2 linked regions of the Notamacropus eugenii genome follow. The protein of the gene in region 2 purifies or fractionates together with the protein of the main gene of each other region. This does not show direct contact. Links are inferred from orthologs where the notes say so. Each region holds a gene or a part of one and is shown on either strand. Other genes may lie near its edges. The genes, in order: ZFYVE19 and VPS4A.

Region 1 (14,645 bases), on a different chromosome or scaffold from region 2:
TTACTGACCCAAAGGGAAATGGGGTGAAGGATCATTGACCGTTTGTAGCAAAAGTAATGGGTAGGAGGTGGGTAAAGGTGTGCAGATGGATGGCACAGGGCTATAGCCATCATGACCACAGCTTTACAATTATTGTATCACTTGGTCTTCACAACAACTATGGGAAATAGGTGCTATCTGGGATAAACAGGGTGAAGTGACTTGCCCAGGGTCACACAGCTAGTAAGTGTCTGAGGCAGCGTTTGAATTTAGATTTTCCAGACTCCAGGCCTGGTGTTGTATACACCGTGCTATCTAGCTGCCTCTGGAAGGAAGTCAATAGTGCTCAGATTTTGGATACAGAAAGCAATATGGGGACTGACTGCAGGAGGGGAGTTAAGGTCCATGATGGGTCCCAAGACTCAGGTATCCTTCCTATTCTCAACCCCAGCACCAGAGGCATTGAGAAAACTGAGGTAGTTGTGTCAGATCGCCCAAAGCCTGATCCCTGCCCAGATCCAATGCCTTGACCTGGCCTACAAGGTCCAGAAGTAGCCCCTGGCCTGCTCCTAATTCTTCATCTCATGTCTCCTGTGGCCTTATGGAAGAGAGAGGACACAAGCTTTGGAGAGTTGACACATTTTATTGGAGGCTAATGAGGTACTGTGTATTTTCCAGTGGACCAGGAGGGAGAACAACTTTTTGAGCCAGGTTTTAAGACTGATAATATTAATACAGTAAGAATCAAAATGCTCAGATGACCTTCCATCCATCAGTGGTTCTGACTTGGGGTGCATCCTTCCCAAGACTCCCAGGCCCTTCCCCTTGCTGAGTCACCATCTTAGGAAAGAGGATCCTGCCTTCTCCTTGGGAAGCCAAAGGCTGAGAGGAGGGCTTCCTCCTGGATCAGCTCCACCCTCTGAGTAGCACCCATGAGGAGCATCCTCTGAGATGTAGGCAGAACTAGGAACCATTACACTTAGGCCCCTTCCCCAGCATCTCAAGGGAACTAACTACAGGGTTGCCTTTCCGGCAGGACCAACTCCAGCAAAGTCCCAAAGGGGTTAGTGCTTTCGTCCCCTGCAGGGTGCACGGTAGACAGATGTCCTGTGCTCTTTCCGTTCAAAGGCATCATGGCCTTCCCTGCAGGCAAAAGGGGCAATGGTCAGTAGTACTAATTCAGTGGAAGTGGGCACATGTCTGCATGTGTGCATACGTGTGTGTGTGGTGTGTGTGTGTGTGTGTACCCACTCCCTGGGCACCCAACTCCCCTCCCTGTGCACTCCCAAATGCCTCTGGCAGCCCCAGCACAGGGTCCCCTTTCCCCACCGGAAGCAGCGTGAGCAGTAGAGGTCGCCATCACAGCCATGGCAGCGTATAGTGGCATCTTCATTGCAAATGCAGCACCAAGGCAGTTCCTCTGCCATCTCCGATTCAGCCCTGGGGGCCACAGCCAGAGCCTGAAGAGAAAGGGAGGGCCGACAAGTAGAGGGTTACTCTCCCCCCAGGGCGCTGTTGTGATGGGAACAAAGTGCACTAACAAAGATGAATAGGATCGTAGGCTTTGAGCCTGAAGGGACCTTAGAGGCCCTCATTTTACAAATAAGGAAACTGAGTCCCAAATAAATTAAATGATTTGCTCAAGGTCATACAGCTTTACCAGCAGAAGACTCACCAGGACTCAAAGTCAGAACCCCACGACCCTTGTACCACACTTGAGGGCTAGTGCCCAAGGTGTCTCACCTTAGGCTTTGGCTGGGCCTGGGCTGGAGGCGCCTGCTTTGCAGGGATGTTGAAGCCACTTGTCTCATCTAGGGCAGCCTCCTCTGTAAGCTACAAACAGGAAGAGAGAGGAGGGTTCCAGGAGCAGCCTCTTCTCTACACTTCTCTTTCAGTCAGTCTCCCTGCAACCTTTTCCATTCAATCCCCACCCAAGCTGTCCCCACCCCTTGCCTGGTTTCACTTTCCTCTCCCACTCTGGCTGCTGCTTCCCCACAGTCATCGGGGAACACAAAGCAGAATGGGGGTTGCATGGGAGCAAGTGTTCAACTAAAGGGGCAGGGCCCAGACAGCAACCACCCCAAGCCCTGGGAAAGCATGCACATGTGCATTCTGAGGGGAAGGGCATGGCAGGCAGTGGGGAAATGACCCAGTGAGGGAGAAACAGGAGACAGGTTAGGTCTCAAGGTATGGTTCAGAACAGCCTTACCTGCTGAAGGATTCGCTGGATGGCCTCCTCTTCATCCTCATCACTGTCAGGGAAGTGATAATTCTGCAAGGTCACTAAAGGCAAGGGAAGGAGGAAATTAACACTGAGAAGATGTCTCTTGGGAGCACATCAACCTCCCTGCCCAGCTCTGTTAGGTTTAGGTCAATAAGCATTTATTCATCGCCATGTGCCAGGTACTGCACTGAACTGCCTTCAAACTCATAGGCTAATGGGAGAGACAACATGCAAACAACTGTGCGCACACAAGCCAGAGCGTAAAGGAGAGGGAATCCTCAGAAGAGAGGTGGGAGATGGGCGAAGACCGGGGAGGGCCTCTCACAGCAGGGGCACTGAGGCCAGGCAGCGGATGTGAGGGAGGGGAGCATCCTAAGTGGACTGAAATGCAAAGCCCCAGAAGATGGGGAGTCACATGTGAGGAGGAGCCCGGAGGCCGGGGTGGTTAGACCTTAGAGCTCATGGAGAATGCCCAAAAAGGTCAGAATAAGCCTAGCAAGAATCTTCTATTTGATTCTGGACGTCAGGAAGCCACTGGAATTTGAATGGGGGTGGCTGGGGAGGAGGTGACATGGCCAGACTGATTTAATAATGTCACTCTGGCAGCCTGGGATGTTGGTGGAGAAAGAGGTTACAAGGACACTGAGCCTGTCCTGGAACAGCAGTTTCTTTAATGCCTGGAGCACATCCTGCTAGGCTGTTGAAGTCAGACCAGCCTTAGGGACTGACGAGCGAGAGATATGGCATTCCTCCTGAGCATTTGCTCAGATAAGTTCTCTCAACATTAGGCTTTAGGGAAAGTGCGGGACATAGGGAAGATGGAAGCTGGGCCCCTTTGCTTGCCCGCCCCATCTGAGCCTCATATCCACCTGTAGGGGGCAGGTGTTGGTCAGTCTCCTGCTCTGGGGGGCACTGCAGCTTTGCTGACTCCAAAGTAGGACTTGTTCATTCTTGATAGAGGGTGTAGTTGGGCCCCTGCATCAGGCATGATGGGACAGGAGCAGCCCCTGGCCCTGTGGGCCAAATCCTGATGCTTCCCAGCCCCTTTCCCTACCTCCTTCAGGGTCCAAGCCCCGAAGCACAGCAAGCCGCTTGGCAAGGGCCAGGATCCTCTCCTGCCGCGTGTTCTCCTCCCTGAGCTCAGCTGCTGCCTCCGCTAGGAGCCTGCCCTTCTCTCCTTCCAGCTGCTGGTGGGCCAATTCATCAGGGCCAATATTCCAGCCTCTTGGGCTGTCCCGATTAAGGTCATTTTGCTGAGAGACGCCTGAAAGAAACCATAGATGGGGTTAAAGTTGGAAGAGGGAGCTAAGGACTGGGGACAAGGCTGGTCTCATCTTCCCTTGTCAGGAGGTGATGGTAAATCATCCCTGAGGGAACAGACAGGCACAGGGGATAGGGAGAGATTTACTTGGAGGTGGAGTTTCTTGATTACAGCTTTCATCAATTGCTACTTCAGCTGCTAATTGTATCAAGAGATCTTCTGCCTGCTGGGCCTGTGTCCTGGTGTCAGGAAGTTGGTGGACCTGGATCAGTGGAGAGAACCCCAGTCAGGAAGAGCTCCCGAAAAGGCATAGAGTGCAGAGAGGTGGGGGATGATGGGGTACCCTATCTAGAAGCAGATGCACCATCCAGGGTAATAAGGTTCAACAGAGACACTAGAACTCAGACAACCAACTTTGTTCAGCTGGGTAGGCCAAAGGTCCACACGTGGTGGGCTACAGCTCTTACTGGCTGAGGAGCCTGCGATGGGGGGAGCCTGCCCTGCAGCACAGCTAGTCGATCCTCCATGTCCTCAGTGGAAGGGATGGGGCCTCGAGGTTCATTCCGAAGAGCAGCCAGCCTGGCTTCGATCTCTGCCTGGGAAGGTACCACTTCTGTAGCACACACAGAAAAGCTACCAGTCAGGTCCTAGAATTACTCCAGGATTTTTAGTGCCCACTTCTCTATACACACGCCCTTAGATGTTGAGGCTTCCCCTTCCCATTGAAGTGATTTGGAGTTTACAGCATCATAGACTTAGAGCAAGAAGAGACTTTAGACGTTAACTAGTCCAACCCTCTTATTTTACAGGTGAGGAAACTGGGGCCCCAAGAGGTTAAGTGCTTTGCCCAAAGTCAAACAGAGAGTAAGTGAAAGACATGGGTTCTGAATTTGATGACTCCACATCCGATGCTCTTTCCACTGCATCAGCTTTCAGCTGGACCCATTCCCAATCCCACTCACTAGGCTTGGTTTCTTGGCGGAGTTTTTCAAGTCGCTTGACAATGACTTGGTCTTCTTGAGACAGTCCCTGTGGCCGAACCACGCCCTGGGGAGCAATGAACTTCTGTTTGGCTTCCAATGCAGCAACACGCCTATTGGGGGGACAAAATGGAGAAGGATACTGAAAAGCAAGGGTCACTGGAACCAGTAGTTGGTACAGGCAAAGGGATGGAAAAGCAGAGCCTACTTTCTGGATTTCTCAAAGTAAGGGGAAGAGGTAGGTAAGAAAAAGACTTCTCCAGTTATCAATAGGAAATTCCAAAGTCTAGATTAGAAAGGGGTGCCTTGGGTAGAAAAGTTGTCCCCTCAAGGGAGATTCTAGTTGCAAGCCCTTATGTATTCCCCAGATCTAACCCAGCAAGAGACTGTAGCAGAGAGGCCAGGACTGAACGTGCATAAATTAGTGAAAGTTCTATATTACGACAGGTATCATAGGGTAGGATATTGGGCCAGGCAGCCTGGAAAGCGGGGACCTTTTCCCAACATTCTATATTCCTTTGGGTCACAAGATAGTCTCCACAGAGAGTCTCTGTGACTCTATACCTCAGCATGAGGTAGATTCCCTGTCTCCATGCCCATCTCCATCCTTACCCCTCCAACACTCACTTCTTGTAGTTTTCAGGTGGTGACCACTTGGAGACACTGGCTTCCGAAGGCCCTCTGCAGGAAGAAAGTTCAGAGTCATAAGGAGTCATTCCTTTGGGCACTGCCACCATACCAGTTAGCGCTCCTCCAGCATACATTTTGCCTCACTGCAGTAGATCCTTATATTACAGACTTAGGAACATATATAGGTAAGTGGAACTGTAGAAGCATCCTATTTAATGACCTTTCCGCTGGCCTCTTCCACATTCACAAATTTATGATCCAGTCCCCCTACCAGAGGCTGCTCTTGTGTCTAGCTTGATCATCCATACTACTCACCTGGTCAGCGCCTCATGGCAAGGCTTGCAGACCTTTTGCTGGGTGTTCCCAAAGCGGGGTACGGCGGCACTGAAGGAGAGGCAGTTGGAACAGAAGGCTCGACCACAGTTCTTACAACCACACTACACAAAAACAAGATGCAAGAAAACGCACACTTACACTCCATCTGGTCCTCCTGGGGCACTTTTCCCGCAGGGATCTCTCAGGATGAAGAACATATGACATTCTGAGGAGGGAAACAGTGGGAAACCACTTCCAGAGGTGGGGAGATGGAGCCAGGGGCACGCTCAGCGGACCGGAGAAAAGAAAATCCTCTCCCAGGTTCCTTCCTGGCACATCGTTCTCGCCCTCTTCTGCCCCCAGAGATGTGGCAGACGCTCGGGCTTCTTCTGGAGAGAGGGTGATGACGGGGCGGGGTGCCCCATTTCAATCTGCCCCTGGCACAGAGGGTGGCACGAGGACGGGTCGCCATCCTCCCAGTCTATCGGTGTGGTTCCTCACACGTGGAAGCATTTCCTTCTTCTTACAGCCCAGGAAGCGAGCTGGGTACCATGCCCAGGACCACACGCCCCGGGGGCACCCAAGGGATCCTTAGCAGCTGGGTCCACTTGGCCCTGGTGGCATGGAAAGCCATGGGGACAGGTGACTCAAAAGGGCAGGCCGGAAAGGAGAGGACACATACAGCCAGCCTGCGGGATGGGAGCCGCGGGGCAGGGGAGTTCCGGAGCGGGGACCCAGCGGGGAAAGGTGGGCAGCGAGGGAGGGGGAGAAGAGGGGGTGACGGGCGGGGGCGGGGCAGGGGGCGGGGCGATGGTTACAAGGGGAGGTGCATCGCCCCCACATTCCAGGGAGAACTAGACTTGCCTCCTTTCGGAACAGGGTGAACTTGACCGCGCAACCATAGCACCTGCCCTCCATCTCCAGGGCAGGACAGACAGACAGCTTCCTGGGGCCGTCAGGACACTGCGCCTCCGCAGCCAAACCTTCGAGGGAGATGGGAGCAGCGATCTCGTCCTTACTACCATCGGCTTCGGGGGGGCCCCCACCCTTTAATAGCCCAGGAGGCCTTTGGATAGACCGGGCTCCGTCCACCTGGGTCTAGAGCGATGCTTGCTGGGAAGGGTAGTTCTTTTTCTCGAGCGGAGTCCTTCGGAGGGCTCCAAAAAAACTTCAATTCCCAGGGGGCAAAGCGCCTCCAACCTAAACAGTGAACGCAGGGTCGGCTGGACGTGAGGACTCCCTAGCGCGGGCCCGCGCTTAGGCTTCTGGGATTTGTAGTTCCCGGAGACAGACGCCGGTTTCAGGGGTCGGGACCATGGCGGTGACCAAGGAGTTGTTGCAAATGGACCTGTACGCGCTCCTGGGAGTCGGGGAGAAGGCGGCCGACAAGGAGGTGAGAGTCTGCGGGCTGTGGTAGCGGCGGCGGCGGCAGCAACAGCAACAGCAGAAGCTGGAGCTGCCCCGGGTGGAGGAGCAGCGCCCTGGCTGCTCTCGGGACCGAGGCCTGCAAGCATTTCCTAGCCTACAGTCCCCTGCCCGGGCCAACGGTCTGGGCGCCTCCTGGGCGGTACCGGGCCCCCTCCGTGGTCGGGGAGCCTCTGTGCTTCGGGGGGGCCGCGGGCCATGGGCCTATGGGAACTTCTCCCTTCGCCCTGCCCCCTCCCCTTCTTCCGCCTCCCCCTCCTCTCCCCTCTCGCTCTTCCGCCTCCCCCTCCCCCTCCCCTGCTATCTCCCCCTCCCTCTCTTCTCTCCCTTCCGCCTCCCCCTCCCCCTCCATCTCCCCCCTCTCTCTTTTCTCCCTCTTCCGCCTCCCCCTCCCCCTCCTCTCCCCTCTCGCTCTTCCGCCTCCCCCTCCCCCTCCCCTGCCATTTCCCCCTCCCCTGCCATCTCCCCCTCCCTCTCTTCTCTCCCTTCCGCCTCCCCCTCCCCCTCCATCTCCCCCCTCCCTCTTTTCTCCCTCTTCCGCCTCCCCCTCCCCCTCCTCTCCCCTCTCGCTCTTCCGCCTCCCCCTCCCCCTCCCCTGCCATTTCCCCCTCCCCTGCCATCTCCCCCTCCCTCTCTTCTCTCCCTTCCGCCTCCCCCTCCCCCTCCCCCTCCATCTCCCCCCTCCCTCTTTTCTCCCTCTTCCGCCTCCCCCTCCCCCTCCTCTCCCCTCTCGTTCTTCCGCCTCCCCCTCCCCCACCATCTCCCCCTCCCTCTTTTCTCCCTCTTCCGCCTCCCCCTCCCCCTCCTCTCCCCTCTCGCTCTTCTGCCTCCCCCTCCCCCTCCCCTGCCATCTCCCCCTCCCCTGCCATCTCCCCCTCCCCCACCATCTCCCCCTCCCTTCCCCTTTTCCTCTCCCTCTCTCTTCTCTCCCTTCCGCCTCCCCCTCCCCCTCCATCTCCCCCCTCCCTCTCCCCTCTCCCTTTTCCTCCTCCTCCTCCCCTCCCCCCTCCCTCTTTTCCCTCTCCCACATCCCCCCTCCTACTTTTCCCTCTCCCATCTCCCTCCTCTGCTCCCTTCTCCTTCTGTTTCCTCCCTCTTCTCCCTTCCCCTCTTCCTTCCCCATCGCTTTCCTCTTCCTCCTCTTCCTCCCACTTTCTTCTCCCTCCTCTCCCCTTTCCTCATCCCCCAGCATGCCCCTCTCTCCACAATCCTTTCCCCCTTCCTTCTTTCCTCCTTCCCAACATTTCCTTCCTTGCTTACTTAATAGAACTTAAACAGTTCCTGTTAGAAGGGTGTAGTATCGGTTTGGTGCTGTCAGGACATTTTCCTGCTTATAAAGTGACCCAGAGCTTGATTAGCTAATCAGCAGTCCTGTATTAGCCATTGGCATGTGCCAGGCTGGGGATGTGAGGAAAGAGCCCCATTCTGATGGGCCGCAGCTTGTGAATGACTGTTGGCGAGCTGAAGAAGACCATGACGTCAGAGAAGTGATGACATCACTTGCGCTTGACTTTGATCTGAGCGGGGAAGGGCTGTGCAGGTCCCCAGCCTCACTTCTCCTCCAGAGCCATCTGGGTCCACTGACCAGCTATTCATCAGGATGACTGGAGATGACCCAGGAGGCCCTCGGAGACTTTTCACCTACTCCCTTAAAATGAGGTAACACCCATTGAGTGGACAGGCCTCTTTAAGAAGTAGTCAGGGTATGGCCCTTTTAATGAGCAAAAGAAAAAAAACTAAGTCAAACTGGGAGGGAAAGAGAAAACCGTTACCATTGATAATCACTGTAAGCCAGTCGTTAAGTGGAGCTTGGGCAGGGACCTGTTGTCCAACCTATGGGCTTCAGAGTGCACTGGGTTTAAGGTTTTGGGAAGACAAGGAAGGAAGGGCGGAAGGATGGATGGAAGGACAGATGGACGGACACACCTGACACTATTGAGAGTATATGAAAGTACCAGCTGAGGGAAGGGACTGTTGGACTGGGGAAGGGCCCTTATGAAAAACAGGGTTTGATCTTGAAGACAGCCAGAGGCAGAAATGAGGAGTGAACATTCCAGGCTTGGGGGGCAACCAGTGCAAAGATGGGAGATGGAGTGGAACAGCCTGTAGGCCAGTGTGACTGCACCCTACAGCTGGGGAAGAATGGGAGGAGGTCACGTTATGAAGAGTTTTAAACGTCAGATTTTATTATTTGATCCTGCAGATAATAGGGAGCCAATCAAGTTTATTGAGTATGGGATTTGACCCATGTTATTAATATCCTGTTAAAAAGAAGTTTCAGTAGCATCTCATTCTGGCATTCAAGGTTTTCCACAGCATGGCCCCAAGCCACCTTTCCAAGCCCACTGCAGTGTACACTGAGCCTGCCAGCCCCTCCAGTGTCTGTAGCTTCTGCCTCTTGGAGTCTGGCACATTCCAAGTGCCCTCCTCATGAAGCCTTTTTGTTTCTCCTAATGACATGTGACTTCTGAACTATCATAGCATTTTACAGCTCTTTTACAGTTATTGTACTTTATATGCTGTCTAGATTTATAGATTTTCTTAAATCTCAGTATTAGATTATTAGATGGTAAGCGCTTTGAAGGCAAGGACTCTATTTTACTGATCCCTGTATCCAATATAGAACCTGCTTCCTACATGGGAGGTAGTCAAATATTTGTGCAATTGCATGGGAAGAAAATGCCTGGGGTTCCTCAAAGAGAAAATAGCTCCATGCTGAAACCAATGCACTATGGTCTATATCATGAGGCTTTCCTTTGCCGTTTGGTTTGAGGGAAGAAGAATAGAAGGGGGAAAGAAGGGAAAGAAGTGAGATCTGATAAGCATTCATTAAGCATTGTACTAAGTGGAATGCTTTCCCTCCTCATATCTTCCTCCTAGCTTCCTTCAAGACCCAGCTAAAATTCTACTGAGGCCTGTAAAACTTTAGCTTGAAAAGCCCAAGGTCCCCCACTGCATCCTGGGCCTTCTCCAGTTGTCTTGATCTTGCCCAGCTCTCCTACACTTAAATTCAGTTCACTTGCATGTCACGGTATCACCTCTCTGATGTCATGATCCTCTTGAGAACGATAAACACTCAGCAACAGCAGCAGAATTCTACCTTCCACAGGAAACCTTTCCCGATTTCCCCTTAATTCTAGTGCCTTCCCTCTGTTGATTATCTTGTATTTGGTTTGTACATAGTTTTTTGCATATTGTCTCTTCCATTAGGGTGTGAGTTTCTCAAGGGCAGGGACCATCCTTTGCCTTAGCACCCTGGCACATAATAAGTGCTTAATAAATGCTTATTGATTGAGTGAATACAGTTACAGAAGAGAGATAGTCCCTGACCTCAAGGACCCCATCTTTAAATGTGGGGAAATGTAGAGAAATGGTGGCCAGGGAAGGGGGTTTTGGTCTGGGGAGTCACGGTGGGTGACATGTCCTTTCCAGAAACAATGGTAATGTTGATTTGTGGCCCAAGGAGGTAGGCAGGTGACAAGCTGGAAGGCAAGGGTATACAGCTTTATGGGATGTAATTTGTGGTCTGGTCTCAGTTGGCTAGATGTTGTGGGCCACAGGAGTTTGCATTTACCCATCAATCAAGCTAGATCAGCCTCAAGGTAGGAGTTTCAAAGCTGAATTTATCCACTCCTTCAGAGACCCATGAGCATGATTTCTGGAGGTCTGGTCCAGAAGGGACTGGTCCTAGTAGAATGATTTGGGAGGGCAGAGGGAGCAAGATGGCTTGGGTGGGGAGCTGGGATGTAAAGCAGAATCTGGTTGCTGATGAAGATGAGAAAGCTGTTAGGAAGTATGGAGCAGAACAAGGCCAAGCCCCATACTCTGCATTTCTGTCCTTTGTCCTGTTTCAGGTAGTCCCATAATTTTTAAATTGTCTCTCCTGGATCTATTTTCCAGGTCAGTTGTTTTTGCAATGAAATATTTCACATTATCTTCCATTTTTTTCATTCGTTTGGTTTTGCTTTGTAATTTCTTGGTTTCTCATAAAGTCATTAGCCTCCATCTGTTCCATTCTGATTTTTAAAGAACTATTTTCTTCAGTGAGCTTTTGAACCTCCTTTTCCATTTGGCTAATTCTGCTTTTTAAAGCATTCTTCTCCTCATTGGCTTTTTGAACCTATTTTGCCAATTGAGTTAGCCTATTTTTAAAGGTGTTATTTTCTTCAGCATTTTTTTGGGTCTCCTTTAGCAAGGTGTTGACCTGCTTTTCATTCTTTTCTTGCATCTCTCTCATTTCTCTTCCCAGTTTTTCCTCCACCTTTCTTACTTGATTTTCAAAATCCTTTTTGAGCTCTTCCATGGCCTGAGACCATTGAATATTTATTTTGGATGTTTGGGATACAGAAGCCTTGACTTTTATGTCTTTTCCTGATGGTAAGCATTGTTCTTCCTCATCTGTAAGGATGAGAGAAGATATCTGTTCACCAAGAAAGTAACCTTCTATAGTCTTATTTTTTTTCCCTTTTTTGGGCATTTTTCCCAACCAGTTACTTGACTTTTGGGTCCTTTGTCAAGAGTAAGGTATACTCTGGGAATCTGTAATATCTCAGTTCCTCCAAGGTGGCACAATCAAGCCTGTACACTGGTCTGGGAGCTACCAGAAACTTTTGTGCCCAGAATCTGAGTAGTAGTTTCCTCTCCACAACCACCTGGCCTCCAGTTCTACCAAGCCAGCACTGGGGGCTGAGATTCAGATAATCTGCTCAATTCCCCCAGGGGCTTTAGGTGGGGGCAGGGCCACCATACAGGACTGAGGTAAGTATCAGCTGCTCAGTTCCCCCAGGGGTTTTACTGTCCAACAATGGATGCAGGCTGCTGTTGCTTTGCATCTCTGCCACCCGCCACCTGAGGCCAGAACTATGGGAAAACCCTGCTTCCTTCTCAGTCAGCTGAAAAAAACCCTCTCACTGACCTTTGGCACCTGTGGGTTGAATGATCTGCAAACTGCTGCTACTGCTGCTGGGGATTCCACCCCTAGGCCTGCTCCTGTCCTGGACCCTGCCTCAAGGCCAAGGCTGGGCTGGGCTCCGATCCATGTCTAGTGCAACAGACCTTTCCCATTGGCCTTTTAGGTCACCCTGGGCTGGAAATCTCCTCCACTCCGTTGTTCTGTGGCTTCTCCTGCTCTAGAATTTGTTGAGAGTCTTTTTTTATAGGTATTTTATGGGCTATTGATGAAGAGCTAGTGTATGTGTGTCTTTCTACTCTGCTCCCTCCTAACAATGGAGTTTCTAATAATGGTAAAAGGGGCCCCATCCCTTTCAAACTTGACACATTTGAAACAAAACTCATTCTTTGTCCTTAAACCTTCCTCCTAATTTCCTTATTTCTGTTGAGGGCATCTGCTTGACTCCTCACTCATCAAAAAGTCTTGCTGATTCTACCTCCCCAGCTTCTCTAGCAAGTGTTCTCTTCTCTCTACTCTCTTGGCTGCCCGCAGCTTTAGGCCCTCACCCCTCATCTGCTTGTTTACTCATCTCCAAGCCTTCTTCCATATAGCTTCTGAGGTGATAGTCCAGCCTGAAGCCAGGTCTGAGCCTGTCATGCTCCTGTTCAGAAATGTCCAGTGACTCCCTATTTTTTGCCTCTTAGGAGGCATTTAAAACTCTTTCCATCCCTCCTTTGCAGGCTTATTACACATTACTTCCGTTCATACCTTCTGTGTTCTGATCAGACTGGTTTACTTGCAACTATTCCTTCTCCAAGATGTTCTTTCTCCCACTCCCATGCCCTTCCTGTCCTCTGTGTCTGGAATAGACTCCTTCCTCACCTTTGCCTCTTAGCATCCCCACCTTCATCCAGACCACAACTCAAGGGTCATCTCCTGTAGGAGGCCACCTATCAGACTCCCAATCCCCATTATTTTGTACATGCTTTTAATTTCCTCATATATTATGTATTGTTCCCTGATAGAGAATGTAAGCTCTTTAAAGGTCAAGGATCACTTCCTTCCTGTCTTTTTATCCTCAGTGCCTAACACAGTTCAGCCACATAGCAGGCACTTAATAAATGCTTGTTGGTTCATATGCATACCCTGCCTTGAAGCTCCAACATGGATGAAACTCTTTTAGAGTAACTAGTTAGTACTCTGGTTAGTACTATACACCTGGCCTGGAGTCTAGGAGGCCTGAGTTTAAATCTGGCCTCTGACAGTTACTGGTTGTGTGACCCTGGGCAAGCCATTTAACCTCTGTCTGCCTCAGTTTCCTCATCTGCAAAATAGGGGTAATAATAGCCTCCACCTCCCAGAGTGTTTAGTGCAATGCTTGGCACATAGTAGTTGCTATCCAAATGTTAGCTGTGATGATGAAGATGATGATGGGGAGAAGAGGCACAGGAGGTTTGGCTCTTGATATAGAAGAAGGAGCAGTGGACTTAGAGTCAGAAGAAAACTGAGTTCACATCCTGCTTATGATTCTGCTGGCAAATTACCTCACCTCCCTAAGCCTCAATTTCCTCATTACTGAACTGGTATTGTAATTGCCCAGACTCTATCAGGAGCATCTGGACAGTGCGAAGACCTCCTAGACCCAGCACTCTTGGGAACACTCTCCTCTTTTCTGTTCCCTTTCCCCCATACCTTCCCGAGGTTGCCCAGAACCCTTCTTGGCTGTCTGACTGTTGATGTGATTGGGGTGGATAACATGGGAGTGACCAACTCTGTTTTGGTGAGATGGAGAGTAACCAAGGCTTGCTGTGTTCTTAGCCACTGCCTCCTAAGGCCTTCCTTACCATCCATTCTGCCTCTGCGCCCTCTGGATCCTCAGCATCATCATATGACGTAAAAATGAAACCTAAAAACCCTTGATGGATTTTCCCATCCGCACCCTGAGTACTTCTGGGACTGGCCATCCACCCCGCAGTCCAACTTTCTTTTGTGTGGTGCTTCTCCCAATTAGAATAAGAGTCCCTTGAGAACTGAGACCATCCCACGTTTTGTTGTGTGTTCGTTGTTGTCCTATTTGGGGCTTTCTTGGCAAAGACACTGGAGTGGTTTGCCATTTCCTTCTCCAGCCCATTTTACAGATGAAAGAACTGAGGCAAACAGGGATAAGTGACTTGCCCAGGGTCACCCAGCTAGGAGTCTCTGAGGCCAAATTTGACCTCAGGAAGACAAGCCTGGCCTTCTGTCCACTTCACTGCCTAGCTGCCCCTTGTGCGCTTAATAAGTGCTTTCTTCATTCATTCATTTGTGTATAAATCGCTTTGCAAACCTTAAGTGACCATATGAATGTCTGTTCTTGTTCACGTAGTCTTCATGCTCTGGAAACCTTTTGGAAAGAAACTAGCATTTATGAAGCACCTCCTCTGCACCCTGCATGGTGCTAAGTGCTTAGCTGTGTGACCTTGGGCAAGTCGCTTAACCCCAACTGCCTCATCCTGGGTCATCTCCAGTCATCCTGATGAATATCTGGTCACTGGAGTCAGATGGCTCTGGAGGAGAAGTGAGGCTGGTGACCTGCACAGCCCTCCCTCACTCAAAACAAAGTCAAGTACAAGTCATGTCATCATTTCTCTGATGGCGTGGTCTTCTTCGGCAATGAAGGACAAACACACACGTGTCATGGATCTGACCAGTGGGACTTGGTAGCCCCAGTTGGGTGTTAAAATGTATACAGGGAAGCCTGCATGCCAGTATCTCTCCCTGTCTTCCCTAAAGTTTGTTTTAGTGACTTGAGGGACCCAGAACTGGACAAAATGCCAGGTCCTAGAAAAGTCTGGCTTAACCTAAGAGCCAAGGACATTTTTGCTTCTTGCTTTCAAACAGAATCCCTAAGACTGTGAGTTTAAAAAAAAGTTGTCTTTTCTTTTTCAGAATTAGGGATTG
Region 2 (14,645 bases):
TCATTACAAGTAACTCCCTAGCTTACCTTTTAAAAAAGTTTCTTAAATTTTTTAAAAAATTAGTGAATATCCCTATTTTGTCCTTCCAGCTGCCCCCCAATGAAAAAGAAAATCTCTGTAACAAATAGTTGCACAGTGGGCAAAATGAATTCCTACTGTCTGTGTCCAAAACCTGTCTCCCTGTACAACCAAGCCCACTCCCCACCTCTGTTCACAGTGCACTCCCTGAATGATCTCATGGGGCAAAGATGGCTGGGGTAACTCTCAGGTGGTAATACCACTACTCTCTTACTCCTAAATCTTCACTCCCTTTTTTCATACCCACCTCCTTCATCTCAGCCCACCAAAACCCACTCCTGAAGACGCTCCATCTGGTATTTTCCCCTAACCAATCACTGTGCTCCCAGCATGTTTCTTAAAATGACAAGGACCTGAAATTCAAGCCCCCCCCTCCCCCCCAAAATTCAACCCCATCTCCAACATGGTTCTGTCCACGGACCTGAAGAGGGGGACATCAGACACACACTCTACTCTCCTTTAAGAACAGGAATACACCACAAGAAGCCAGAATGTACAAAAAAGGAAGCCTATAACACTTGCCTGGTACAGTTCATGCCCTCCTCCCACTGTCATGGTGCACAGCTCACTTTCTTACCTTTTTGAAGTGTGTTGCTGACTGCACTTTTCGCACAGGCTGCATGAGAGAATCCCGCACGATGATGCTGATGTCTGCCCCTGAATAGCCATCAGTCTTCCGGGCTAGCTCAAGGATATTGGCCTCCGTGAGACTATGTGGGGTGTTCCCAAGATGCAGCCGGAACATCTGGGTCCGGGCTGCTTCCTCAGGCAGTGGGATGTAAATTCGTTTTTCAAACCTAGAGCCAAATGCAAAGGAATAGGTGCTACAGAGGTTTAGAGAAGTATGGAGGTTCCATCCAAAGTCTCCCCAACTCCTTCCACTGAAATACCAGCATAACAGGACTGGCCATTCGAGGCCACCAGTGCCACAGTGACATTACTCACTATCTCCAACAAAAGTATATAAGTGACATTAGCCCAAGGGAACTTATGTGGAGAGGTAGGCAGAAAGGAGAATGACTGATTGAATGTATTCATTCTGAAGGAAAGAACACAAATGAATTATCCTGTAGCACAGGAGTTCTGAAGCTAGGCCATGAATCAATTTCAAGGCCCCCATGGATTGGTTCTCTTAGTGTTACGGTCACTACATTGCAATATAATTGCATTCCTTTGTAATCCTACGTATTTTATTTTCTGCATTTAAAGCATGATTCTGAGAAGCTCTTCAGCTCCCGGACACAACACATCTGAGGGATTCTGAGGTGTAACCTCCCCCAAATCAAACCCAGAGAAATTGTGAGTGAACCAAGCAGGTTATGACCAGAGTCAAAGGTGGCTGAGTAACGTATAGCTGACAATCGGATGGAGAATGCTTAGCAGCTGGTAGATGGGTGACTCCTACTCACCTCCTCCTAATGGCTGAATCCAAGACCCATGGGATATTTGTGGCACCCAGGACCAAGGTGCCATCATTGTTGTTCCCAACCCCTGTGGAAAGAAGGAAAATAAGAAGCTGACCATGATGACATGACCATCACTAGCCACAGCCTCTGAGGGCTTTGTGCTGGAGCCGAGCACCCTCACCCCCTAAAGTGACAACAGGTTCATCTGGGGTTGTAGGAGGAGAAGCAAAAAGTACATCAGCTAGAGTTAGTCGGCTTCTCAGAGGGGACAAAGCAAGCACAACTGGGCTTTGTCAGGGTGACAGCCACAGTCAAGAGTTCCAGAGCTCCTTCAAAGTACTGGTGACTTTACCCAGGGCTACTTAAAGAAGGCTAAGGAGTGGACAGAAGGGAGGGAGGAGAATGGAATAAAAAGAGGCCTGGACAGGGAATTAAGAGACCTGTGTTAAATCCTATTTACATTTCTTTAAAAATAAAATTAAAACGAGGAAATCCCCAAAGCTTTGATGGCTCTGGGAGGCCCATGTGTTTCTAAAAAACCAGCAGTTTCCACCCAGTTCTTCATCAGGTCATGGCTGATGGGTATCGGCGTCCCCATGAACCAGGGTGCCTTGCTACAGGCCAAACATCAAGTCCCAAATTCTCCTCAATGTTAGCGCCAGCTGGCACCCTGGTATGGGTAGACCCTGAACACCAGCACAGGAGCTGGATATCTTTCTGTGTGGGGTGCCCCAGCAGAATGTCCATCCGTCTTCCACCAGAAGCTCTGCTTGTGGCAGATTCAGCAGCTTTTTTGTTGGCAGGCCTGGCCATGCATTTCTGCTCACATCTGCTGGACAGGCCCTCTGTCCCACGGCTGTCCAGGAGGGGCGAGTGTGTTCGGTGTGAAGATTCTAAGAAGTGAAGGCCAAGGAGTAGAGACGCAAAGGAGGTAGGGTGGGCTGGCTCTGGCTCTACAGTTCTGGGCAGTCCCTTTCCCCCCATCCCCAGGACCTCAATGTCCTCCCCTGTAAAATAAAGGCAGCACTTGCAGTGACCTCCAGGCTCCTTTCAGCACTCACCCTGCATCTGGACTAAGAACTCTGTCTTGATCCTCCGAGCAGCCTCACTCTCATTCTCATTCCGAGATCCACAGAGGGAATCTACCTCATCGATGAAGATGATGGAGGGTTTGTGCTGCCTGGCCAGCTCAAACAGGTTTTTGACAAGCCTGTGATGAAAAGCCAGAATATGACTGCCCTTATTCACCCCAACCCTCTCCACCCCTATATGGCTTCTGGGGATGTGTCAGCAAGCAGGACAGGGGGGACTATGTTCTCTCAAAGGGAGGGCTTGCTCTGTGCCATTTTCACTGGCTCCAGAGCTTGGAGGGAATGTGGCCTGACTGCCGACTTACTTCTCACTCTCCCCCAGCCATTTGGACATCAGATCTGAGGAGGACACAGAGAAAAAGGTGGAGTTGTTGGCTTCTGTTGCCACAGCCTTTGCCAGGTAAGATTTCCCTGTGCCAGGAGGTCCAAAGAGTAGGATCCCTCTCCAGGGGGTACGCTTGCCTACAGGAAGAAACAAAAAACTGGTGGATGAGCAGCAAAGGATTCTGGACTCAGAGGATCAAGGGAGCTAACACTGAAGTTGGGCCCTTTTGTCCTGTCCATATATGGCCTGACCATCTTAAATGAACCCTGACCATCTCTAGCTCACTTAGTGACACAAGCCTACTGACAATGTTCTTGTGGGTGAGCTGGACCAAAAGTCAGCTAACAAGTCAAGTGGGATTGGCATCTTCCTCACCGAGGTGGTAGGGGATGGGGAACACCAGGCCACAAGGGCCCTAACTGCTCAGCAGGCTCTAATCCTGTGTCCTCATTCTAACTAAAAAGAATGGGAAATAGTTTTCACCTCTTCTTGGTAGCTTTCAACTTTATTTTTGATATTTGGACTGAATCAGTTCAGCTCTCACCTGTGAACAAGTGTGGGAACTTGATTGGCAGGATGACGGCCTCTTTAAGCGCTTCCTTGGCTCCCTCCAGGCCGGCCACATCACTCCACCGAATGTTGGGCTTCTCCATGACAATGGCCCCTGTAACAAGGAGGCAGAGGGGCCCTAAGGAGGGGCCCCACAGCAGCCCCAAGGGTGACCTCGGCAGCCTCATGCAACTTACCCATCAGCTGTTCTTGCAGCTTCTTTTTCTCTGGATTTTCTCCTTCGCTGTCGCTGTCGCTTCTGTGGAAATGAAACAGGCAGTCACAAGCTGATGCTTTATGTTGGCAGCAGCAAGGTCCAGCGCCTGCCCGCTGGTGTGCAAGAGAAGGGACAGAGACGTCTGCTGGCGATGCCGTGAGTGGCTTTGACAGGGGCGCCCACCCACTAAAGGCCCATAGGAAAGGCACCCAATCCATCCTCATAACAAGTAGAAGCTGGTTTGTAAAATCAATATGCTATTGTTAAGTGCAGCTCTTCAGGGCACAAAATAATGATAACCAGCATTTACACAAAGCTCTAACTTTACTTACATACACTATATCATGTAAACATCACAAAAGCCCTGGGGAATAGGTAATGCAGGACTATTATCCCCATTTTACAGATGAGGAGACAAGCACAGCATTAGCTGGTCAGCCTCAGTGACACAGTAAATACCAGAGGTCTTCCTGACACAAACCCAGCATTCTATCCACTACCCATGCTGCCCCTTCTGACTTTTAGCATCCCCCAAATCCTCTAAGAGAGCAGGCTCTCCCTATCCATGTACAACTGTCACTATGGAGGAATAAACTAAACACTGTTGCAAAATCTTGTCCTCCTGGAAGAAGGGTCTGTTCCCAGGAGCCTTCCTGTCCTCCAGGAAAGGCCTTCCATTCCAGGCAGCCACCCTTTCAAATCATGTCTCCTCCTGATGACATGCTCTCTACAAGCACATTTCTGTCCCTGGGACACCACCTGCAAGCTTCTCTTGCTGTGGTCGGTGAAATTTCAGTTGGAATTCAAGAGCCAGGAACTCCATAAGTTCAGGTTATTTTTATTAGGTCACTTAAACTAATTTATTTATCTAATTTCATTAGATGGCCACACCAAAAAGGGATGTCTGCCCTTGGGAACTCTGGGGATTCTCTCGGCCACACTGATTCGGCCCCTCTGGGCTGAGACACTCACCCCTTGCTGTCATTTGGAGCCTCTTTTACTGGCTTTTTGCTTTGCTTGTCTTTATTCCGTAAGTAATCTTTCAGCTTCTCGGCCCGGTCCAGGTACTGCATACACTTTCCCCGAATGCTCTCCTTCGCTTTATCACTGTGTGCCTCATCTATAAAAGGGCCACCCAAGAAAAGGCCTATTTAGCCTCGGAGGTCACCTCCTTTTCCTCCACCTGCCCACAGCAGCTCAGGACCCCGCCCTGACTCACATTTGATTGCATGTAGGAAATACTCCACAGCGTGTTGGTAGAGCCGCAGTGCCTCTTCATAGTTCTTGGCTTTGTCCTCCTCTGTCGCCTTTGTCACCAGATCAATGGCCTTCTGGAAAGACGACATGACACAGGGCTCCCAAACAGATCCTGAAAACACTCAGTCACAAGCAGCAGGAAGACACTGGAGCCAATGAGCTCAGTCATTTGTCTTAGGCCAGGAGAGCCAACCACTTCCCAGCCATCAAATAGAAAGGCTTTAAAAGGAGGCATTAAAAGATAGTCATCCCTTCTCCACAATAACCACACACTTAACAGGGATTTCATACTCACTCTCCTCTCTGGATTCCAGCAGGAGGAAACCTGAGCTAATGTCCCAGACTAGAGTTACAAAAGGATGGAGAAGTCACTCTGTTGTTAGTGGGACATTTGATTCTACTCCAAAAAGAAAGTGGCCACCAACAGAAGATCTGGGACTCTACTGACCCTCTACTACCACTAAGTAGTTTAGAATGAAGACCAGAAATCACACTGTTTCCAGAATCAAATGGTGGAAGATGCTCTGAGATTCAGAGAAGCACCGTGCCCACTTCTATGCCTCACTGTGTGGATTTCAAGAGAACTTTGTTCAGTTCTGTTGCTCCACTGAATTGGCTTCCTTTGGTTAGAGAGGAGGAGGAGGATATTCCTGAGACCCTACATTAAGTGTGGGAAATTTCAATGATTGAGAACACAAGGAGGGTCTTTCTCTCTGAAAGACACACGTGCTGACAGTCAAATCGAATCATACGATACACAATTTTTGCAGACTAGTTACCCTCCCCAGCCCTCCTCCCCCCAAGTGGGATTTTAAAGGATGAAGTATCTTTATTCTAGTTATAGAAACTCATGATTTCATCCTTTGGAAGGAACAGAAAGCATTTAGCAGAAATACAACTGGTAACTAAAACCCCATCTCTGATGAAGTGACAGATCTCCTGGTCCATCACCTCTGGGACTAAGGCATTGTCAAATGTCAGAGATTCTTCCACCAGAAAAACAGACATTTCCAGGCAATGTGACAGCTGAAGAGATCCGTTCTGGTTAATGACAACCAATCTAAGAGCTTTAAAAGCCAGGAGAGCACGGGTTCGCTATCGTTAGGGCTTTAGTCTTCTCTTGGAGCACACTTGGAGGGCAGCATGAGCCTCAAAGACAAAGTCCTGGCACCTTCTGGACCCCCTAACCAGGGCACACTAACGCCCCAAGCCTGGCTGCTCCAAGGGTCAGACGCAGAATGATGTCTGCGGTGGAAGGAGCTGCCCGCGCTCACAGCCCCCCTGTCAGCCCGTCAGTCCGTCTGTCCGACTGTCCAGGGCTAAATGGAAGTAGGTCAGGTACCGAAGTTTCAGGACGGAAATGTTATGGAGCAGAGAAGAGCCCGCCAGCGTACGAACCCGCCTCCCCCTCGGTGTCTCCGGATAAAGACGCGGCTCCGAAGGCGGGGGAGACCACACCGGCCGGCGGAGGAGGGCCGGAGGGGGGAAGGGCGGCCAGCTGCCGCGGGGCACGCTCCAAGGGGCCTTGGCTCCCATCCTGGCCCTCCCGCCATTCCCGGGATGACCTTGGGGCGGGTCGCTTCCCTCCCGCGGGCCTCAGTTTCCCCATCGGTAAAACGACGGAACCGGCTCGGCTGCAGCCGGCGCCCGCAGGGGGGCGCAGCACCTGCCGGGCTCCCGCGGGTGGGTGGAGGGCGGGGGCTCACCGCCCACCACGGGAGGGTCGGGCCGTGCCCAGGGCGGCCTCAGTTTCCCCAGCGGCGGGCCCCGAGCATGCAGGGGCTGAGGGCCGGGGCCCATCCTCCTCGCTGGCGCCGGGCGGGCCGGGCGGACCGGGCCAGAGGCCTCCCGGGCGGCCTCGGCTCGGCCCCGGCCCGGCCGGCCTCCCGCCGCGGCCTCCCCCGCCAGGCCCTCGAGGCCGGTACCTGGAGAGTTGAAGTTGTCATTTCATCTCCCGGGCGGCCCCGGCAGCCCGCGGCTCTGGTTCCGGCCTCAGTGCGGGCCCCTGCGGGAGGCCGAGGACGCTGGGTCCAGGACGGGCCGACAGGCGGAAGGGGACGCGCAGCGGGCGGGGCCCCGGCTGGGCGGCCTCGGCTCCGCTCGACTCCGAACTCTCCGCGAGCGAGCGAGCGAGAGGGAGAGAGCCAGCGAGAGGACGGCGAGCGCGGCCTAGAGCGGCCCGGCACCGGCTCCGCGGTCGCCCCCTGGCGGCCGCAGCCGAGAGCTGCAACCTCGGAGCCATCCCCGCCCCCCATTCCCCGAGCGAGCGGCCACGCGCGGCGGGGCAGGTAGACCGGGGATCCCAGGCAAGCGGAGCGGCGGCATGGAGCCAGCGCGAGCGCGGTAATGATGACGACTGCCCGGGTGGCTGGAACGCAGAGCCTGCGGATGGGGGCAGTAGAAGGTAAGGCTGGAAAGGGAGGTGGAGAGCCTGGAAGGCCGGGCAGCCCCTCCTGGGGCAGTTGTAAGGTAGGACACAGCCCTGCGGCGCCCGGCGGGCACGGAGCTTCACTGAGTAAAACCCAAGGTTCATTTCCTCCCTTTGTCTTTAAGCTTAAAACTGCCCCAGGACTTCGGAACCCCTGGTACCGGCGCGCAGCGGGAGGGCCGGGGGGGCACGGGCACGCGGGGCCGCCTGCCCCTCCTGCTCGGGCACCTCTGCTGGTGACACGTCTCCGAGCCTCGGCCCCTGAGTGCCTGAGGGAGGGGGGCCGGGCCCCGGCCGGGCGGGAGGGTTCGCCCGCTCCCGTAGCCCCTCGGTGTCTGAGGACCAAGGGAGGGCCGCTTCGCAGGCGGAGTCGCTCAGGTGTGCCCGGGCAGGTGCCACGGATGCCAGTGCGCGCTGGGTGTGAGCCCAGGCCTGGCTGGCAGCGGGCTGTCAAGGAGCGCTCTTACGGGGGTCCTGCTTACTGGATGTCCCCTCATTTTCTGATTCTGCGACATCATTGTACGCACCAGGCTTCTTACCGCATTTAGCAGCTTGATTGCCGAACACTTGCCTCGTTAATTCTTGTTAATTGTTAATTATAACAAACTCGGGCTTTCGCTAAGAGTCCGGCGCATTTCTCAAGCGCGCATCCCCGGACGATGAGAAGAAACAGGCCGGGATTAAAAGTTGTTGAGGATCATGTTCAAAGGAAACGACTGACACTTAATGATTTTCAACTATTCTTATTTCTCGATATTATTTCTGAAAAGTAAACCTCCCTTCTCCCCAGTCCCCCCATAATTTGTATGAAAACAGGACCAGATGGATCCAGTGATTTAGCTTCTGTCCTCAGGAAGCCAGCTGTACAACCCAAACCAGAACTCATTAGACCATTAAAATACTACCTGGGAACATGTGGTTGCTCTAAATCTATTTCTAACTGGCATTTGAGGCAGGTGACAATTTGAACAGGTATCTTGTAAGAGGAAACACCGAAGGTAAAAACGAGCACATCTAAAAGGAAAACTTTTTATTATTTACAATATAAAGGTTACAAAGGTGTACATGTACTTATATGTATTGCCCTCAAGTCACACATTTTCATTGTAATGTACAATGCCATAGTTAATATGCAACTCAAGGAAAGTGTTGTCTAAGTATCCGTATTTATAGTGTACATATAAAGCTTTCCTGGGATTGATACATAAGAACACAATACTGCCCTGTTTTACATGAATATTTAGATTTGGTAGCCTAGACCAACCGGAAGATCCAAGATAAGAGGAAAGAAGTTCTCTTTGAATACAAGAAATACTTTTGATTCTTCCTAGCAGTATTATTACAGTCTTCTAAGTCTCAATATTTAAAAATCACCAGGAACAATATGGGGGTGGGATAGGGAGAGGAGAAGAGGGAAAGGAAGGGGGAAGAAAAAAAAGGGGAAGGGGAGCACGAATTTGCACAGATGTTAGTCAAAACAGGCCACGTTGGGAAGTGGTTTTACACGTTATTTCCCCAAATTCCTTGGGTCCATGGTACCAAAAGGAATAGCTGCTGTTTGTCATGCTTTATTCACTGTGTAAACATATACACTGGTGCCATTTATTACAGCAAGTAATTCCAAAATGGCTCTTTCCAAAGGGCAGATTTACCAAGGGAAACAACAGCTATTAGTGAGTGGTGATGCTAAATGGGAAATACAATTTTAAAATATTATCCATACTCCTGCCTTCTAATATGGTAACTGCATAAAGATGAGAAATATAACTGAATCCATTTAAACAAAAAAAAAATGGATAAATGAGATCATGTTTCCCAGGCTATGGATTACAGATACCTAAATATACAGATCCCAATTATATAGAATGGAGAACACCAGGTTCTCCAAGTATGCATCTAATGTAACAAACAAGAAGACATTGAGGCAAAGAACAGTTTTCATGTACAGTTCTAGCACATATGAAAACAAGGGATTAGTTAAGGGCCAATGTGACTTTCATGTGCTATACCAAGAACAGGAATATTTTTTTTCTGAATACACCTGAGGCTCATCCTTTTAAAAACTTGATCAATATTGTGAGGTCAGAGGAAAAACCTATTTTTAACTCAATAAGGCATTTTGTATAGAAAAGGGCTTTGGTTGGATAAAAACTTTTTGATAAATTAAAATTTGTCTTCTCTCTTTTCTCAAGTACTTTCCATGTTCTGGGACCATGTCTCCAGTAGTTGCTTTAAAAAAAAAAAAAAAAAGGATATTTCTCTGAGTTTCCCACTCTTCATTTTGACCAATCACTAGGGAAGCATTTTACTATGCAGATAAGGAGCTATTGAGATGGATGTCAATCTGGGAATTTATGTTAACAGCACCATTTAGAAAAAAGTTGATGGGTGCAACGAAGAGTAATCGTTTTTAATTCTGCTCTATGTAATTAAAAGAATTTCTTCTCTCCCCCCATCTCTTCCATCTTCACAGTTCTTCACTCAGAACAACAGAGCTTGCTTTGTTTGGTCACATCTTAGTTAGGAGATGAAATTCCATAACATGTCACATCAAGCTTTTCCTTTCTTTGTTCAGTGAGAAAGAAAAAACCAATTTATTCTACCTTATAGTTGGAAGAAACACCCCGAAGTCACCTAAGCCAGTCCCTCTCCAAGTCCTGAATCCCTTCTCCAAAATCTTTAAGAGTGGTTCTACTTCTACTCCAAGTCTACCACTGGATGAGAATTCCACTACCTTCCCCCTGAAGCAATTCCTGCAGGTTTTCCCTCCTGAATAATTAATGTAATATGAGATTTCCTTTAAAGTGCTCAGACTATCACCCTCATTTTCATGAAATAGACAGTCTTTTCTCAAAGCCCAAGTATCACTGTGGACCTTTTTGTTCGGTTTGCCAGCATACCCAATCAGTAAAAATGGGAAACCACTTTGGTAAAAATCTGAGATGAAGTCCTTAAAACCTACTGTGGAAGAGAAGGCATGATTTAGTTGGGCATGAACTAGATTTGTCAACAAGTCTGGCTTCTTTTGAAAGCCCCAAAGCACCAAATGCAGCACTGTGAATTGTAGGCACTTCAATGCTTGGTGAATGTTCTTTCTCACTACAGTATAAGCTATATCTAGTTTTAGCCAATACATTTTTAGACAAGTTGAGTTATGCTTAATATGGCACATTACTGGTAACTATGTTCGTCAGACACAAGCGCCAGATGTTGTCTGTAAAAAGGCACATATAACCATGACATGAAAAGCAAGACATTTGGAAAACAAGAAAAAATACTTCAGGTTCAGTCACTGGAGAAGTTCATAAGCCGGGAAGGGCATTGTAGGAGAGATGATCAGATGCTGAAGTTAAATTTCACCAATTCTCAAATAAAACCATCACATCTAAAAACATTCCTTAAAAGCTAAATATGTAAATAACTTGTTATTAAGTATATGGGGTCTCACTTAAAAAATCAGCTTCAAAAGTATCAACTAGGGAGTGTGGTTAGAGACAAATTTGTCAAAAAGACATGGAAAAATTTAGCAGACTTTATAGAAGCCCAGTGAGTCGACACAGTAGCCACTGTGATAACAGCAGCCACAGTATCAGTAACATGGTCTTAGGCTGCACTGGGGGAGGCAGGAGGGCAGAGTAAGGAGGAAAGGCCTACTGCCCCTCCTGTACACTTGCTTCACCAGACTACAGGAGGGCCAGTTAGCTGTGGGGGACATCGATAAAGTGGAGAACATTGGGGAGGATAAGTGGGATGATCAACCTTGAGATTGTGCTAAGAGAAAATCTATGAAGAAACTGAAAAAGTTCAGCCTGGAAAGGAAAAGACTTAAGGGAAACCATACAGCTAACTTTCAATATCTGAAGGGCTTTTGTGTGAAAAGGGGAACAAACAGATTTGTTCTATGTGGCCCCAAACGGAGAACAAAAAACAACAGTTAAGATTTGCAGAGGCAGGTTTCAGCTGGATGTGAGATAAAACCTTCTGACAATTAGGACCCTCCACAGGTGGAGTGGGCTGCCTCAGGGGGCAGTGAGTTCTACCTCACTGAAAGGTTCTTGGGCAAAGACAGAATGACCACTTGTTGGGGGTATTGCAGAGGGGATTCTTGGTCAGGTATGGCCAAGGCTAGATATTGGAGGAACCCTCCAACTCAGATTTTGCAACATGGACACAGACTCACTTGGGATATGCAACCGAACCTACATCACCAGTAGCAAAAGCCAAACTCACCTTTGATGGGAAAGGACTTTAGAGTAGCTACTCTAACACACTCTCTACATAAAACAAATCTCTAAGATTGTTGGACAAGTCACTCAAACTCATGCATCACTTATAAGACCCTTAGAGAATCAAGTGGTTAAGGTGGTAGTGCAATCATTTTAGACATGTTTATCAACCCATAAGTATTCACCAAATATTGGGTAAGAGCCCAGTAATGTGGATTTTTATGAACTGTGTGGTTTAAAAAAATACCAGCATCTTAAACCACCAACTGAAAGTAAAACTTTGATGTACCTAGTTCTCAGTTACCAGGTAAAAGTGATAACTAAAATGGGGGCATCAGATAATGAATTCTTATACTTTCCATACTGGGGTGGGGATGGGGAGACAAATAGGATCTAAATTTAACTGAAAAACACTCCAGACTTCACTGACTGCATGAGGTCTTGCCAAAAAGCAATCTGCAGCAGGGCAGTGGGTCATGTTTAACCTAAAATATAGTTTAAGCAGTGTCTTAAGGTCTAAAGAAGTCCTTATTTTATAGAAATTAGAATTTCTCCGATGCAAGCAGCTTCAGAACCAAAGAGTTTTGGCATTTAACTTTTCATTTAATAATACAGGATTCAGTAGCAACCTTTGGCCTTCCTACTTGACAGATCAACTATAGTTTCATTTAGCATTGGCAGCAACATAAAGTGAATGCTGGACATTTATACTGTTCAGTTTAAATGAATAGTTTATAGCCACCAAAATTAAGACATTAACATAATTCAGCTGAAGTGTCAGAGCTAAGATTAAAAAAAACACAGAGAAAAGTGCCTAAGTCTACACATCTTCCTTGGAGCCTAAAGAATGTTTAACCCTTTAAGCATGTAGGGCTTTGAAGATAATTTGCATAGCAGCTTACAAGGTAGTTTACAAGTAAAAGAAAAACATGAACAGGGACTGTCTCATTTTTGGAAATATACTAATATAACATGCACATAAATTATATCCTAGGATCTGAAGGAGTTTTTTGAGAAAAAAAAATCCATCAGACCTTTCTTCAAATGTAGTTACACCTCCTTGCCAGTGAAAATCACTTAGAGCAAAAGCTATTTTGGGGGGAGAAACATGACCTTATTAATTCTCCACATGGATTTTTAATTAAAAAAACTGAAAAAAACTTATGATTTGGCAACTAAGTGCAAATTTAAATAGTAGGTAAGATTTGCTACTAGCACATACCATTACAGAGTTAATTTAGAGACATGAATAACTAGTAACAGCTTTAGCTATTTGCTATTTAAAAATATAATTTTTAAAAATAGAAATGTAACAAACAAGGAATTCCATAGCTCTACTTCCTGCCTATGCAGTAAGTTTTTGGAATCATAAAGTTATTGAGAGTGCAGATAATATGAACGGATAATGTGAACCAATAAGATATCCCTTGTTTAAAAAGTGCTCAAAGATGGCTTTTGAAGACTTGAATGGCCTTTAGAATAATATTCTGAGTATGTGCACATAGCCAGTATTGACCTCACATTCCTGAGGTCTACTGGGTAGTTACATATAATTACAATTATAATTATTCTAATAAATAACTGCGTAAACATACATGAAAGAAAGATGCTTCTCTATATAATGCTAGATGTCAAACTCATTTGCAGGTTGAGTTCTAGTTTATGATCTTGGAAGGAAAAATTTTCCTTTTACAAAAAGATAGCTGTTCCTACCTTTCCATTTTTTTCTTTATAAGATGTCAAGGTAAGGACAGAGGGAAATGGAAGAAAAAGAGAAAGAAAGGAGGAAATGAGCAGACCCTCTCACCAATCAGTGGCTTATGAACTCAATCACATGAAGGTGGGGGGAAGGTGCGGGAAAGATCTTCAACCCCCACACCGTGGTTGCATAGGAGTTCGAACCAATGTCCAGTGATTCCTTTTAAGCCCAACCATGGAGAGCACCAAGCACTTTCACAAGTTTCCTGATCAAAAATCAGAAGGTACTCAAAAGCCACCGGAGGGTAGTCAGAGGCAGAAAGGCAGCAATGACTTCTTTTCAAACAATCTGCCGTATTTGGTGAGCTTAATTAGAAACCTATATATGCAGGCTGTCCTTTCCTAAAGCATTCCTTTTGTGAGCTAGGGATCTCACCAACCTTACCCTGGTCACCCATGACTGGATGACTCCAAGAGTGTCTAACAGGTGCAGCCTAAAGGCTCCCCAGAGAGGCTGGTGTCTCGTGAGTGGGCTTCCATTCTGTTCCATTTTGTTTCTCTTTCTTGCATGCAAACATCTAATCAAGACCCTTAGGTCTGTGAGGCTTTATGCCTGAGCAGCCCAAACTGGGGGAATGAAATCCACCATTGGATTATAGGTTAGTGAAGGACGGACAAGGGATGGCTTTTTCTTATTCTCACTGACATTTTACCCTGTACAAAATCTTCTTGCAAAGAAGGATGAATAGGGTGGTTTCCAGACATTCCCATGATAATATTTCTTGTTGGCTCAGGCTTTTTTTAAAAAACAAGAATATATAAAAATATCCACAGCAAAGCAGGAATCTAGGGACGTTGTTGGGGAAATTTGAGTCTGCAGAGCTAAACTTCTGTTCACCCGAAAACAGGAGTCCCATGTAATGATATTCTGACTGTGCAGATTTGACAGCTCCTGCTGAAAAGAGCCAGGCTCCTAGATCTGACTGCATCAAGTGCTAGAGTTCGCTTTAAGATATGACTTTGGGCTTCAAGGCATTCTTTAAAAAAAAAAGTCCTTGGGTCTTATCAGCTGCCTCCAGCCACCAAGACTTAGTATCAAAATTCAAATTGGATTTGAGATGAAAAAGATATTTAAAAGACCAATTAACTTCTAAATTGCAATTTAAGATGAGTCTGTGGATTTTGAAAATAATATAAAGTCTATAAGTAACTCTATTTTGCCTTTAGATTTGTATCTCTTTAGTTCAAGTAGAGAGGACAACTTAGGTCTAGTCTTCAGAAATTCCACATATCTGGGACAAGAGAACAAGGGCGCTTTCCTCATCCCTATCACGTGAGAATTATGCAAGAGCAGAAGCTCTTGGAAAGAG

What was found.
Region 1: the proteins of VPS4A (region 2) and ZFYVE19 purify together in Homo sapiens (affinity purification with mass spectrometry; 3 studies listed by BioGRID and IntAct, counting the BioPlex papers as one, with this or other methods). This does not show direct contact. The link is inferred for Notamacropus eugenii from reciprocal best matches to the Homo sapiens genes VPS4A and ZFYVE19.

Annotation. Positions count from the first base shown.
Region 1 is NC_092878.1:26,966,790-26,981,434, reverse strand, and holds ZFYVE19 (abscission/NoCut checkpoint regulator), read right to left. Parts: upstream 6,378-14,645; 5' UTR 6,308-6,377; coding exon 6,254-6,307; intron 5,732-6,253; exon of another isoform or gene 5,608-5,731; coding exon of another isoform or gene 5,549-5,607; intron 5,512-5,548; coding exon 5,390-5,511; intron 5,126-5,389; coding exon 5,072-5,125; intron 4,558-5,071; coding exon 4,427-4,557; intron 4,078-4,426; coding exon 3,932-4,077; intron 3,727-3,931; coding exon 3,612-3,726; intron 3,468-3,611; coding exon 3,258-3,467; intron 2,263-3,257; coding exon 2,189-2,262; intron 1,813-2,188; coding exon 1,723-1,812; intron 1,440-1,722; coding exon 1,309-1,439; intron 1,123-1,308; coding exon 1,044-1,122; 3' UTR 603-1,043; downstream 1-602. Other genes in the region: DNAJC17 (dnaJ homolog subfamily C member 17), read left to right, coding at 6,705-6,782. UniProt on the Homo sapiens protein: Key regulator of abscission step in cytokinesis: part of the cytokinesis checkpoint, a process required to delay abscission to prevent both premature resolution of intercellular chromosome bridges and accumulation of DNA damage.
Region 2 is NC_092872.1:708,679,844-708,694,488, reverse strand, and holds the start of VPS4A (vacuolar protein sorting-associated protein 4A), read right to left. Parts: upstream 7,090-14,645; 5' UTR 6,870-7,089; coding exon 6,849-6,869; intron 4,998-6,848; coding exon 4,886-4,997; intron 4,787-4,885; coding exon 4,639-4,786; intron 3,709-4,638; coding exon 3,647-3,708; intron 3,565-3,646; coding exon 3,445-3,564; intron 3,038-3,444; coding exon 2,881-3,037; intron 2,695-2,880; coding exon 2,546-2,694; intron 1,570-2,545; coding exon 1,488-1,569; intron 876-1,487; coding exon 656-875; intron 1-655. UniProt on the Homo sapiens protein: Involved in late steps of the endosomal multivesicular bodies (MVB) pathway. Recognizes membrane-associated ESCRT-III assemblies and catalyzes their disassembly, possibly in combination with membrane fission.